Saccharomyces cerevisiae S288C: one gene and its partners. The gene in region 1 interacts genetically with each later gene. Each region holds a gene or a part of one and is shown in the gene's direction. Other genes may lie near its edges.

Region 1 (6,378 bases):
CTGGTCTGAATCCGCAGCGTACGAGGCGATCCTTTGAATGTCCTTCGTGGGCTGTACAAAGTTTTTTGTTGTTACCTTCTGTTGCTGCTGGCGGTGATGCAAGGAGGGAATATGAGAATCGCTGAACCTTCTTGCTATGAACTGATGGTTGTTGTTGCTAGGCGACAGGTTATGTACACACTGATAAAGGTCGTAAATGTTCATAGAATTAGACAGCCTCTGTTGTCTTTTAGACATGAAGTCCCCGAACAGGTCTGTATTACAAGCCCCCTCGTTATGTAACTTCTCTCTTGGTGAGCACGATTCCGAAAATTCAGAGTCGTTATCGTTGATATTGAGCACCGTTTTAATGAACTCATGTTTCTTATTAGGAGTGGGAGATCTGTTACTCTCCAGAAAATAGTCGTCATGATGGCCACCACTTCCGGCACCGCTTCTCATATCCTCCCCCTCTTCCTCCTGAATAGCCTTGTAATGGATGGTTAGATGGGCAGATATGGGTCTATTGCTACTGCTACTCAGCATGGTTATATTCTGTTGTCTTCTTTACTTTAAGGCGAAAGGTCAGACAATATGCATATATATATATAGTCTTCGAATGCACGGCAAAAATGATATGAAGAGCTATGCTACAGTATATACTTCTTTGTTATTGCAATCAACGTGAGCCTTAACCAATGAGGAAGTAAGAAGGAAATAAGAAGTAAGACATAAAATAAAACTACAAAAAAGAAAGAAGATCCGCAAAAACCCAAGAACAGCATTGTAAGTACTACCATCTATATAGATCGAATATCCTACTAATATATAGTAACTGCCACACGAAAAACTGTGGGTGTAAAGACTATTCATAGCCATTCTCTGCTGCTTTGTTGCATCGTATCATCGCCCGTTTCAGCCAGTCCCGCATACCCCCTTTGCAACGTTAACGTTACCGCTAGCGTTTACCATCTCCACGCTAAAAGGAAAACGAAGATTAAGATAAAGTTGGGTAAAATCCGGGGTAAGAGGCAAGGGGGTAGAGAAAAAAAAACCGGAGTCATTATATACGATACCGTCCAGGGTAAGACAGTGATTTCTAGCTTCCACTTTTTTCAATTTCTTTTTTTCGTTCCAAATGGCGTCCACCCGTACATCCGGAATCTGACGGCACAAGAGCCGATTAGTGGAAGCCACGGTTACGTGATTGCGGTTTTTTTTTCCTACGTATAACGCTATGACGGTAGTTGAATGTTAAAAACGAAAACAGAGATATTGAATTGATCAATTTGATCAGTACGTATGTAATCTTTTGTTTGCCATGTTAAATCGGCCTTTTTTTCCATCCGGTCTTTATCTACCATTCATTTATTACATCGCAATGAAGTCTCTCGCTTCATGTTGTTGTTTTTTTTCCTGCCTTTTTTTTATCCGCTCTCATTCTTATTTTTCCTACTTGCATTTTATAAAACAATAATATTTTTTTCTTCTTTTTGTCCTTTATTTATTACTTCCTTGATTAAAAGCTTCTTATCTTCGGTTTCATAAAGAAGAAAATTCCTTTTTTTTTTTTTTTTTCCTTCTTCTTGCTTAAAAGCCTTTCTTATACCTCATTTGAACAATAGAACTAGATTTAGAGACTAGTTTAGCATTGGCCAAGAACTAACCATACGCAATGACTGTTACTACTCCTTTTGTGAATGGTACTTCTTATTGTACCGTCACTGCATATTCCGTTCAATCTTATAAAGCTGCCATAGATTTTTACACCAAGTTTTTGTCATTAGAAAACCGCTCTTCTCCAGATGAAAACTCCACTTTATTGTCTAACGATTCCATCTCTTTGAAGATCCTTCTACGTCCTGATGAAAAAATCAATAAAAATGTTGAGGCTCATTTGAAGGAATTGAACAGTATTACCAAGACTCAAGACTGGAGATCACATGCCACCCAATCCTTGGTATTTAACACTTCCGACATCTTGGCAGTCAAGGACACTCTAAATGCTATGAACGCTCCTCTTCAAGGCTACCCAACAGAACTATTTCCAATGCAGTTGTACACTTTGGACCCATTAGGTAACGTTGTTGGTGTTACTTCTACTAAGAACGCAGTTTCAACCAAGCCAACTCCACCACCAGCACCAGAAGCTTCTGCTGAGTCTGGTCTTTCCTCTAAAGTTCACTCTTACACTGATTTGGCTTACCGTATGAAAACCACCGACACCTATCCATCTCTGCCAAAGCCATTGAACAGGCCTCAAAAGGCAATTGCCGTCATGACTTCCGGTGGTGATGCTCCAGGTATGAACTCTAACGTTAGAGCCATCGTGCGTTCCGCTATCTTCAAAGGTTGTCGTGCCTTTGTTGTCATGGAAGGTTATGAAGGTTTGGTTCGTGGTGGTCCAGAATACATCAAGGAATTCCACTGGGAAGACGTCCGTGGTTGGTCTGCTGAAGGTGGTACCAACATTGGTACTGCCCGTTGTATGGAATTCAAGAAGCGCGAAGGTAGATTATTGGGTGCCCAACATTTGATTGAGGCCGGTGTCGATGCTTTGATCGTTTGTGGTGGTGACGGTTCTTTGACTGGTGCTGATCTGTTTAGATCAGAATGGCCTTCTTTGATCGAGGAATTGTTGAAAACAAACAGAATTTCCAACGAACAATACGAAAGAATGAAGCATTTGAATATTTGCGGTACTGTCGGTTCTATTGATAACGATATGTCCACCACGGATGCTACTATTGGTGCTTACTCTGCCTTGGACAGAATCTGTAAGGCCATCGATTACGTTGAAGCCACTGCCAACTCTCACTCAAGAGCTTTCGTTGTTGAAGTTATGGGTAGAAACTGTGGTTGGTTAGCTTTATTAGCTGGTATCGCCACTTCCGCTGACTATATCTTTATTCCAGAGAAGCCAGCCACTTCCAGCGAATGGCAAGATCAAATGTGTGACATTGTCTCCAAGCACAGATCAAGGGGTAAGAGAACCACCATTGTTGTTGTTGCAGAAGGTGCTATCGCTGCTGACTTGACCCCAATTTCTCCAAGCGACGTCCACAAAGTTCTAGTTGACAGATTAGGTTTGGATACAAGAATTACTACCTTAGGTCACGTTCAAAGAGGTGGTACTGCTGTTGCTTACGACCGTATCTTGGCTACTTTACAAGGTCTTGAGGCCGTTAATGCCGTTTTGGAATCCACTCCAGACACCCCATCACCATTGATTGCTGTTAACGAAAACAAAATTGTTCGTAAACCATTAATGGAATCCGTCAAGTTGACCAAAGCAGTTGCAGAAGCCATTCAAGCTAAGGATTTCAAGAGAGCTATGTCTTTAAGAGACACTGAGTTCATTGAACATTTAAACAATTTCATGGCTATCAACTCTGCTGACCACAACGAACCAAAGCTACCAAAGGACAAGAGACTGAAGATTGCCATTGTTAATGTCGGTGCTCCAGCTGGTGGTATCAACTCTGCCGTCTACTCGATGGCTACTTACTGTATGTCCCAAGGTCACAGACCATACGCTATCTACAATGGTTGGTCTGGTTTGGCAAGACATGAAAGTGTTCGTTCTTTGAACTGGAAGGATATGTTGGGTTGGCAATCCCGTGGTGGTTCTGAAATCGGTACTAACAGAGTCACTCCAGAAGAAGCAGATCTAGGTATGATTGCTTACTATTTCCAAAAGTACGAATTTGATGGTTTGATCATCGTTGGTGGTTTCGAAGCTTTTGAATCTTTACATCAATTAGAGAGAGCAAGAGAAAGTTATCCAGCTTTCAGAATCCCAATGGTCTTGATACCAGCTACTTTGTCTAACAATGTTCCAGGTACTGAATACTCTTTGGGTTCTGATACCGCTTTGAATGCTCTAATGGAATACTGTGATGTTGTTAAACAATCCGCTTCTTCAACCAGAGGTAGAGCCTTCGTTGTCGATTGTCAAGGTGGTAACTCAGGCTATTTGGCCACTTACGCTTCTTTGGCTGTTGGTGCTCAAGTCTCTTATGTCCCAGAAGAAGGTATTTCTTTGGAGCAATTGTCCGAGGATATTGAATACTTAGCTCAATCTTTTGAAAAGGCAGAAGGTAGAGGTAGATTTGGTAAATTGATTTTGAAGAGTACAAACGCTTCTAAGGCTTTATCAGCCACTAAATTGGCTGAAGTTATTACTGCTGAAGCCGATGGCAGATTTGACGCTAAGCCAGCTTATCCAGGTCATGTACAACAAGGTGGTTTGCCATCTCCAATTGATAGAACAAGAGCCACTAGAATGGCCATTAAAGCTGTCGGCTTCATCAAAGACAACCAAGCTGCCATTGCTGAAGCTCGTGCTGCCGAAGAAAACTTCAACGCTGATGACAAGACCATTTCTGACACTGCTGCTGTCGTTGGTGTTAAGGGTTCACATGTCGTTTACAACTCCATTAGACAATTGTATGACTATGAAACTGAAGTTTCCATGAGAATGCCAAAGGTCATTCACTGGCAAGCTACCAGACTCATTGCTGACCATTTGGTTGGAAGAAAGAGAGTTGATTAAAAGAAAATGACCTTTTATTACACTTTCTATTATTAATGTCAATTAATGTTAACCCATGTTTTTCTTTTGTGTCTATAATTCTTTTTTTTTATCTCTAAGCTTTTGAACAATGAATTTTTTGTTCCTTTCTTTTAATAATACAAGTACTACCCCATGAAACCAATATTATCATGCATTTTTATGAATGTCAAGAATAAAGATACTGTTATTTTTTGTGTCTTATTTTTTTTCTCTTTGTTTATTTAAACGTTTTCTAAAATTAAAACTTATGTATACTGGAATATGTGATATAGACGATTTAAAAGATAATTCCAATAAACGTCCCTCGGATCTCATATTTATAAAGGTACCCTTTTAATACAATATTTATACATGTGCGTTAAATACTTTGTTCTCTTATTATCTATGAACTTATCACGAAGAACGGAGATGTAAACAAAAAGAGTGAATGAACTATGAACTTTAAATTACCTTATTACGGAGGAAGTATTCCTTCACCTATGAAGGATACAAGGTCTACATTTTTCGTCTGATAACTCTCAGGAAATTAAACAAAGTGGTATGGTTTTATCAAGGGGAGAAACAAAGAAAAATAGCGTGAGATTAACGGCAAAACAAGAAAAGAAACCTCAATCTACGTTTCAAACTTTAAAACAGTCACTTAAACTTAGCAACAATAAAAAGTTGAAACAGGATTCGACCCAACACTCAAACGATACAAATAAATCTGTTAAAGCCAAAAAAAATGGCACGTCCTCGAAGAAAACCGGAACACAAAGGAAAAGAATATCAACTCAGAGATTTTCATTGTTTACCTATGGCAATGTTCAGGTTATGAATTCATTCGTTCCCATTCATAATGATATTCCGAATAGCAGTTGCATTCGTAGAAATTCCCAAGTATCCGCAAATAATGTCACTGAAAGTAGTGGAGTATTCTTCAATGATACGCAAAGTCAAGACAGTCAAAACACTATTAAGTTAAAACCTACATCTTTAATGGCAAAAGGACCTATTGAAATATATCAGATATGTACAGGGTTTGATAAGTTAAAGGAAAATATAGCGCCCTTTCAAAAATCTAGTAAAGCTAGTAGTCATGATGGGCATGTAGTAAACTATTTATCGATAGGACGACATGGTGATATTGTGCATCCAGTACTACCCAAACTACAAATAACAAGGCTAAATGGCGCAGGTTTCAAATACTTTATTAGCTTTTATAATCCGGAACGGTACTGGGAAATCGAATTTCTACCTTTGATTAGTCAATCCCAATCAGAGTTGGAAAATAGTGTGAAAGCTTTTGAAAACGTCATTAGCAAAATTTGCCAATTTTCGCATATTAATGAAGGAGCTACTATTGGGAATAATGAGTCTTTGAGCGATAAATTCAAACTGCCGCCTACTTCGGACATAGAGCCCCCCAATACTGAAATAATTAATAATGATGATGATAACGATGATGATGATGATAATTATGATGATGACGACCTTAATTACTTGCTGGATGAAGAATACGAACAAGGATGTACAGATAATAGCTTCTCCGTGATATCGAACACTTGCTCTAATCTAAATGCAAGCTTTCTCTATCCGAGCGACCCTACCGATGCCGTGTCAATCTCCATAAATGAAGCTTTCAAAAATGCTATCAGACGAACCGCTCCTGTACTGAATATTCCAATAGCAGCCCCAAGTATTCATTCGAAACAGCAAAACAAAAGATATAGTTCATACCCTTTTATCGACTCTCCCCCGTATCTGCAGGACAGGCATAGAAGATTTCAGAGGAGATCCATATCTGGTCTTGGCGACCTTTGAATGAAGTTCAAAGCATAACT
Region 2 (3,644 bases), on another chromosome or scaffold:
GTTTCCGTGGAAAGAAGAGAAGCGTTGGAAAAGGACCTAGAAATGAAAAATGATGAATTAAACAGATTAACAAAAATATGGGACGCTGAAAGAGCTGAAATTGAATCTATCAAAAATGCTAAGGCAAATTTGGAACAAGCAAGAATTGAGTTGGAAAAGTGTCAGAGAGAGGGTGATTACACTAAAGCATCCGAGTTGCGATATTCCAGAATTCCTGACTTGGAGAAGAAGGTAGCTTTAAGCGAGAAGAGTAAGGACGGAGATAAAGTAAATTTACTTCATGATTCAGTTACTTCTGACGATATTTCTAAGGTTGTTGCCAAAATGACTGGTATTCCTACAGAAACGGTGATGAAAGGCGACAAGGACCGCCTACTGTATATGGAAAATTCTTTAAAAGAAAGAGTCGTTGGCCAAGACGAGGCCATTGCTGCTATTTCTGATGCTGTACGTCTTCAAAGGGCTGGTTTGACCAGTGAAAAGAGACCTATTGCCAGCTTTATGTTCTTAGGTCCTACTGGTACTGGTAAAACAGAATTGACCAAGGCTTTAGCTGAATTCCTATTTGATGACGAATCAAATGTGATTCGTTTTGACATGTCAGAATTTCAAGAGAAGCATACTGTCTCTCGTTTAATCGGTGCACCTCCAGGTTACGTCTTAAGCGAATCTGGTGGCCAATTAACTGAGGCTGTCAGAAGAAAGCCTTATGCTGTCGTTTTATTTGATGAATTTGAAAAAGCGCACCCCGATGTTTCCAAACTACTGTTGCAAGTGTTGGATGAAGGTAAGCTGACCGATTCCCTAGGCCATCATGTTGATTTCCGTAACACGATCATTGTGATGACCTCAAACATTGGACAAGATATTTTATTAAACGACACAAAGTTGGGTGATGATGGTAAGATTGACACCGCAACCAAGAATAAAGTTATCGAAGCAATGAAAAGATCCTATCCACCTGAGTTCATCAATCGTATTGATGATATTCTAGTTTTCAATAGGCTATCCAAGAAAGTTTTGAGGTCAATTGTTGATATTAGAATTGCAGAAATTCAAGATCGTTTGGCCGAAAAAAGAATGAAAATTGATTTAACTGATGAAGCGAAGGATTGGCTAACTGACAAAGGCTACGATCAATTATATGGTGCAAGGCCATTGAATAGATTAATTCATAGACAGATTTTGAACTCCATGGCAACTTTCTTATTAAAAGGTCAAATTAGAAACGGCGAAACTGTTAGAGTGGTGGTTAAAGATACTAAGCTTGTCGTGCTACCAAATCATGAAGAAGGCGAAGTTGTTGAAGAGGAAGCTGAAAAGTAACTGCACAAGCGGTTTATGAATAATAAATTCCCAAGAAAATACATATATAAACATACACATTTCTCTTTTGTAAATAGAAGAATTAAAATAAAAGATTTTTGGTATCAAATAAACTGGATGAATGTTACATGTACCAAGTGCCCTGGCAATACAATAAAGCTATTGGTCTGGAAGTATTGATATTATTCAAATGTAATCTTCGAGAGTTACTGCGGGTAATACACACATGTGTCACATATTTTTCTCTCGAGTATGAAAAAATTTCATTACCTTTGTAAAAGCTTAATACGATCATTTCAATATGACTAGTAATAAAGGGGAAAGTTTGCGAAAATGGATGATTTTTCAAGAGATACCGAAAACTTTGTTTGCTGGTTAAAAACTACCGCTGAAATTGAAGTATCCCCTAAGATAGAAATCAAAGATCTTTGTTGTGATAATCAAGGCCGCGCAGTAGTTGCCACTCAAAAGATTAAGAAGGATGAAACATTGTTTAAAATACCTCGTAGTTCTGTTTTAAGCGTTACAACATCTCAACTGATAAAGGATTATCCTTCTCTCAAGGATAAGTTCCTGAACGAAACCGGATCGTGGGAAGGTTTAATTATCTGTATACTTTATGAGATGGAAGTTTTGCAAGAAAGAAGCCGATGGGCGCCTTACTTTAAAGTTTGGAACAAACCAAGCGATATGAACGCGTTAATTTTTTGGGATGATAATGAACTGCAACTTTTAAAACCATCACTTGTCCTTGAAAGAATAGGAAAAAAGGAAGCCAAAGAGATGCATGAAAGAATTATTAAATCAATCAAACAAATTGGTGGAGAATTTTCACGTGTAGCGACGTCCTTCGAGTTTGATAATTTTGCCTATATTGCAAGCATTATATTGAGTTACTCCTTTGATTTGGAAATGCAAGATAGTAGTGTAAATGAAAATGAAGAAGAAGAAACCAGTGAAGAAGAACTTGAAAATGAGCGCTACTTGAAATCGATGATTCCACTTGCTGATATGTTGAATGCAGATACCAGTAAATGCAACGCTAATTTAACTTACGACTCTAACTGTTTAAAGATGGTTGCTTTGAGGGATATTGAAAAGAATGAACAAGTGTACAACATATACGGAGAACATCCAAATTCGGAACTACTAAGAAGATATGGGTATGTTGAATGGGACGGTTCGAAGTATGATTTTGGAGAAGTGTTACTTGAAAATATTGTCGAGGCGTTAAAAGAGACTTTTGAGACGAATACTGAATTTTTGGACAGGTGTATTGATATCTTACGCAATAACGCCAATATTCAAGAATTCTTAGAAGGTGAAGAAATAGTACTAGATTCATATGATTGTTATAATAATGGTGAATTGTTGCCTCAACTAATACTTTTGGTCCAAATCTTGACAATTCTTTGCCAAATTCCAGGTTTATGCAAACTGGACATAAAAGCAATGGAAAGGCAAGTGGAGAGAATTGTAAAGAAGTGTTTACAATTGATAGAAGGTGCCCGCGCCACTACAAACTGTAGTGCCACATGGAAACGTTGTATTATGAAGCGTCTAGCCGATTACCCCATAAAAAAGTGCGTTTCTATCGAAAAACCTTCGAAAGGAAACTCATTAACAAGGGAAGAACTAAGAGATGTTATGGCTCGGAGAGTTTTGAAAAGCGAAATAGATTCGCTGCAAGTTTGTGAAGAAACCATCGACAAGAATTACAAGGTTATTCCTGATGAAAAGCTGCTAACTAATATTTTAAAGAGAAAGTTGACAGAGGAAGAAAAAAGCTCTGTCAAACGTCCTTGCGTGAAGAAGTGAGCGGTTGTTCTAACCACTATTTAAAGCCGCAATTAGTAATGCAAAAAGTTGGCCGGAATTAGCCGCGCAAGTTGGTGGGGTCCCTTAATCCGAAAAAGGACGGCTTTAACAAATATAAACTCCGAAAATCCCCACAGTGACAGAATTGGAGAAACAACCAGTTTTGATATCGCCATACATATAAAGAGATGTAGAAAGCATTCTTCACTGTAATGTCCAAATCGTACATTTGAATTTCTTGTAGGTTTATTTAAAAGGTAAGTTAAATAAATATAATAGTACTTACAAATAAATTTGGAACCCTAGAAGATGTCGAAATTGGGACAAGAAAAAAATGAAGTAAATTACTCTGATGTAAGAGAGGATAGAGTTGTGACAAACTCCACTGGTAATCCAATCAATGAACCATTTGTCACCCAACGTATTGGGGAACATGGCCCTTTGCTTTTGCAAGATTATAACTTAATTGATTCTTTGGCTCATTTCAACAGGGAAAATAT
Region 3 (5,544 bases), on another chromosome or scaffold:
GTTTCGCCCACCGTTGCAATGGAAGGTGCAGACATTTTAACTTTGACAAACAAGTATATTGAAATCTTTCAACACCTGGTTAATTATCTGTTACAAGAACTACAAAACTGGAGTGAAAATGCAGAACAAGATTCCGATGACACAGATACGGAATTGCAAAGAGATACTTTGGATGAAGACGCGATGCAAGTTACCAGGGACGGAAGTGGTATCCGAACCAATGGACCTGTACAACCTCCAGCAGAAGTTATGGACGTTTCTGAACAAGTGACTCCGTCTTCACTTACCGAAGTACTCGCCAACTCTTTAAAGTTCAACCATGCTTTGATGGAATTGGTTATTGAGTCGAAAATATCTATTGAAAAAAATGTCGAAACGAAAATCTTGAATCCTATTCAGATTAATTTCTTGGAAGATACAACCAATAAATTCTATTTACAACTACGCGACATTATAGACTCCATTTCCGCCGCCATTCCATTAGATTTGAAGGAAATCGGTTTAGCCAAGACTTTAATTGAAGGTTTGAACATCATTAGCTCCGGAACCTTCGAGTCATTGCAAGATTTTGTTCTGCAAACCGTCTCCTTTACCGATCTGCTTGATGAAAAAGATGTACAGGGTAAGATTGATCTTTCGTTGATTAGAGTTGATATCGTTGAATTTGCCATTCTATGTTTAAACGATTATTCTTCAGATGCATCTTGGAAACTCTCTGGGTTATTGACCAAAGTTCTTACAGAGGCTAGAACTTTATTAACAGACTATAGAAATCAAATCTTGTTTCTGAAAAATCAGACATTGAACGAACAATTGAGTCACGTAGTTTTTCAACTTTGTGATGTCTTAGTAAATTCCTCCGATAATGAACTGAGAAGGTACGCTATAAAAGAATCAACTGAAAAGTCACAAAAAACCCCCGGGGGAGCGCATACTTTAAACATATTGATGAAAAACGCTAACGTTTTTCTGAATAATGCTGTCGCTATCTCATCAAAACAGTGCGGGTTACAAGAAACGATTATTGATAAACTGAAGAGGAACTATATCCATAATCAAGCCAAGGAAAGACTACTTTTCTTACAGAGGCTGGAACAGAAGTCAAATGAGGATGACGGTACTTCTGCTTCGCCTACCGCAATGACGTTCGATATGCCACCAGAACACCCTTTTTATAGCCACTATCGGTAGTGAAATTACGTACATATACATAAGTAGAAGATAATTCGTTGCGCATATGCTACAAGAACCCTTGGTGAAACGAAATTTGATACAAGTAAATACATGCAGGAAACATACATTACCTCTGAAACAAAGCCGAGACGGGGCCCAGCAGTCTTTTTTTAGAAATCGCGTGGCTTGGTAACGCGATAATGACGCGACACAGCCATTAGTGTGAAATTTGATTTTCTTGGCCAAACTAGGTATAATATTTGTTACAAATTATTGATTTTAATATATATCTCGGGTTCATTTTTTACGTCGGTACTCCAAAGGATCAGAACACTTACATTTTGAGGCCTACCGGACCTTGCAGTACTGCTTGTTTAAATACGCAGTATACATTTCTTCTTCTTCTTCTCTCTTCTTTCCTTCCTCGAAGAGTCACTAAATTAATACTGGGAAGCCAAACCAAAAAAACTATACAATGAGTGATCAAAATAATCGATCGAGAAATGAATATCACTCAAACCGGAAGAATGAACCTTCCTATGAACTCCAAAATGCACATAGCGGGCTATTTCACTCTTCTAATGAAGAATTAACAAACAGGAACCAAAGATATACCAATCAAAATGCCAGCATGGGTTCATTCACTCCAGTCCAATCTTTGCAATTTCCAGAACAATCTCAGCAAACAAATATGCTTTATAACGGTGACGATGGCAATAATAATACTATCAATGATAACGAACGAGACATATATGGAGGTTTTGTCAACCACCATCGCCAGCGTCCCCCACCAGCAACTGCAGAATACAATGACGTTTTTAATACGAATAGTCAACAGCTACCGTCGGAACATCAATACAATAACGTACCTTCATATCCACTTCCTTCGATAAATGTGATTCAAACCACTCCAGAACTCATACATAACGGCTCACAGACTATGGCCACCCCCATCGAAAGGCCCTTCTTTAACGAAAACGACTACTATTATAATAACAGGAACTCTAGGACGTCACCGAGTATTGCTTCTAGTAGCGATGGTTATGCAGATCAGGAAGCTAGGCCCATTTTGGAGCAACCCAACAATAACATGAATAGCGGTAATATTCCTCAATACCATGACCAACCTTTTGGATACAACAATGGTTACCATGGCCTACAGGCAAAAGATTACTATGACGATCCGGAGGGTGGTTATATTGATCAGAGAGGAGATGACTATCAGATTAATTCATATTTGGGTAGAAACGGTGAAATGGTTGATCCTTACGATTATGAAAACAGTTTAAGACATATGACTCCTATGGAGCGTAGAGAATATCTTCATGATGATAGCAGACCCGTAAACGATGGAAAAGAAGAATTAGACAGTGTGAAAAGCGGTTACTCTCATAGAGACTTGGGGGAATATGACAAGGATGATTTTTCAAGGGATGACGAGTACGATGATCTCAACACTATTGATAAATTACAGTTTCAAGCTAATGGTGTACCTGCATCATCCTCGGTGTCTTCTATCGGATCTAAAGAATCCGACATAATAGTAAGCAATGATAACTTAACCGCAAATAGAGCACTAAAGAGAAGCGGTACTGAAATTAGGAAATTCAAACTTTGGAATGGTAATTTTGTTTTCGATTCTCCAATCAGTAAGACGCTATTGGACCAATACGCTACTACAACAGAAAATGCAAACACTTTACCAAATGAGTTTAAGTTTATGAGATATCAAGCAGTTACTTGCGAACCTAATCAACTTGCAGAGAAGAATTTCACGGTGAGGCAGTTGAAGTATTTAACTCCAAGGGAAACGGAATTGATGCTAGTAGTCACAATGTATAATGAAGACCATATCCTGTTAGGAAGAACTTTGAAAGGTATTATGGACAATGTCAAATATATGGTGAAAAAAAAAAATTCAAGCACTTGGGGGCCGGATGCATGGAAAAAGATTGTCGTTTGTATCATTTCAGATGGTAGATCCAAAATTAATGAACGCTCGCTAGCATTACTAAGTTCGTTAGGTTGTTACCAGGACGGGTTTGCTAAGGATGAAATTAATGAAAAAAAAGTGGCAATGCATGTCTACGAACATACGACAATGATCAACATCACAAATATTTCGGAATCAGAGGTTTCATTAGAATGCAATCAAGGTACCGTTCCAATACAACTTTTGTTTTGTTTGAAAGAGCAAAATCAGAAAAAAATTAACTCACATAGATGGGCATTTGAAGGCTTTGCAGAATTACTGCGTCCCAATATCGTTACATTGTTAGATGCTGGTACCATGCCAGGTAAAGATTCTATTTACCAGTTATGGAGAGAGTTCAGGAATCCAAATGTTGGTGGCGCATGTGGTGAAATAAGAACTGATTTGGGTAAGAGATTTGTAAAGCTTTTGAATCCTTTAGTTGCATCACAGAATTTCGAATACAAAATGTCCAATATTTTAGACAAAACAACCGAGTCTAACTTTGGATTTATTACTGTTCTACCGGGGGCATTCTCTGCGTATAGGTTTGAAGCTGTGAGAGGCCAACCATTACAGAAGTACTTTTATGGTGAAATTATGGAAAATGAAGGTTTTCATTTTTTTTCTTCCAATATGTATCTTGCTGAAGATCGTATTTTATGCTTTGAAGTGGTCACAAAAAAAAATTGTAATTGGATTTTGAAATACTGCAGAAGTTCTTATGCTTCAACAGATGTACCGGAGAGGGTCCCTGAATTTATTCTTCAGAGGAGGCGTTGGTTGAATGGTTCATTTTTTGCTAGTGTATATTCCTTTTGTCATTTTTACAGAGTCTGGAGCAGTGGTCATAATATTGGTAGAAAACTCCTTTTGACGGTTGAATTTTTTTACCTTTTCTTCAATACATTGATTTCATGGTTTTCATTGAGTTCATTTTTCCTAGTCTTTAGAATTCTCACTGTTTCTATTGCACTGGCATACCATTCAGCATTTAATGTGTTGTCCGTCATATTCCTGTGGCTTTATGGGATTTGTACCTTATCAACATTCATACTGTCATTGGGTAATAAACCTAAAAGTACTGAGAAATTTTATGTTCTAACTTGCGTCATTTTTGCGGTGATGATGATTTACATGATATTCTGCAGTATATTCATGAGTGTCAAATCCTTCCAAAATATATTGAAAAACGATACCATCAGCTTTGAGGGTTTGATTACCACAGAAGCTTTCAGGGATATTGTTATCTCTCTGGGCTCCACTTATTGTTTGTACCTAATCAGTTCAATTATCTATTTGCAGCCATGGCATATGTTGACAAGTTTTATTCAGTATATTTTATTGAGTCCTTCTTACATCAATGTTTTGAATATCTATGCATTTTGTAATGTCCACGACTTATCATGGGGTACAAAGGGTGCAATGGCAAATCCGCTGGGTAAGATTAATACTACAGAAGATGGTACGTTCAAAATGGAAGTTCTGGTCTCTAGTTCAGAGATTCAAGCAAACTACGATAAATATTTGAAAGTTTTAAATGACTTCGATCCAAAATCAGAATCTCGGCCTACTGAGCCATCTTATGATGAAAAAAAGACTGGCTATTATGCAAACGTTAGATCTCTCGTGATTATCTTTTGGGTCATCACAAATTTCATCATCGTTGCTGTTGTCTTAGAAACCGGTGGGATTGCAGATTATATTGCTATGAAATCCATATCAACTGATGACACTTTAGAAACTGCAAAGAAGGCGGAAATTCCCTTAATGACCAGTAAGGCCTCAATTTATTTTAATGTAATTTTATGGTTAGTTGCATTATCGGCATTAATAAGGTTCATTGGTTGCTCAATATACATGATAGTAAGGTTTTTTAAAAAGGTTACATTTCGCTAAGTAGATTGATTACCCCTTTGTTATAAATAAGTATATGTGTTTACTATCATATAATAATTAATTAGTTGTAAGTATGGTATTTTTCAAAGAAACATTTAGTATTATTTTTAAAGGGTGCCTTTACCATAAAACCAAAAAAAAATGGCTTCTGAGAGAAAAACATAAATAATTGATAAAACTGAAACTCACAACACCAACTCTTCCGCTCTAAACACCCAAAGCTCAAAAAACGACATGTGCACATCTATATCCATAAACTTTCAAAAAAGTGGTTCATTCGCAAATTCATGAAGTATTATTTAATACACAGTAATCTGGCATTTCATACTATCATTGCTCAAATTATCCGCCGGACCCTTGAAACTGTGGCGCTTTTTAAGACGCATCTCCAAAAAAAGAAAAAGAACAAAAGAAAAAAAGCTGCAAATATATATACAAAACAGATTTCACGTTTATTGCTTGGGAGTAAGGTAACGATCCGGAAGCCTTGAAGAAATTTG

Evidence for each region.
Region 2: mutations in PFK2 (region 1) and RKM4 together harm fitness more than expected from each alone (negative genetic interaction), as found in Saccharomyces cerevisiae (2 studies listed by BioGRID).
Region 3: mutations in PFK2 (region 1) and CHS1 impair growth when combined (synthetic growth defect), as found in Saccharomyces cerevisiae (2 studies listed by BioGRID).

What each region holds. Positions count from the first base shown.
Region 1 is NC_001145.3:670,043-676,420, reverse strand, and holds PFK2 (6-phosphofructokinase subunit beta), read left to right. Parts: upstream 1-1,654; coding exon 1,655-4,534; downstream 4,535-6,378. Other genes in the region: YMR206W (uncharacterized protein), read right to left, coding at 1-525; INP1 (Inp1p), read left to right, coding at 5,096-6,358. UniProt on the Saccharomyces cerevisiae protein: Catalyzes the phosphorylation of D-fructose 6-phosphate to fructose 1,6-bisphosphate by ATP, the first committing step of glycolysis.
Region 2 is NC_001136.10:969,490-973,133, reverse strand, and holds RKM4 (ribosomal lysine N-methyltransferase), read left to right. Parts: upstream 1-1,659; coding exon 1,660-3,144; downstream 3,145-3,644. Other genes in the region: chaperone ATPase HSP78, read left to right, coding at 1-1,326; CTA1 (catalase A), read left to right, coding at 3,454-3,644. UniProt on the Saccharomyces cerevisiae protein: S-adenosyl-L-methionine-dependent protein-lysine N-methyltransferase that monomethylates 60S ribosomal protein L42 (RPL42A and RPL42B) at 'Lys-55'.
Region 3 is NC_001146.8:274,854-280,397, forward strand, and holds CHS1 (chitin synthase CHS1), read left to right. Parts: upstream 1-1,648; coding exon 1,649-5,044; downstream 5,045-5,544. Other genes in the region: YNL193W (uncharacterized protein), read left to right, coding at 1-1,191. UniProt on the Saccharomyces cerevisiae protein: Polymerizes chitin, a structural polymer of the cell wall and septum, by transferring the sugar moiety of UDP-GlcNAc to the non-reducing end of the growing chitin polymer. Required for mitotic division septum formation during adverse conditions.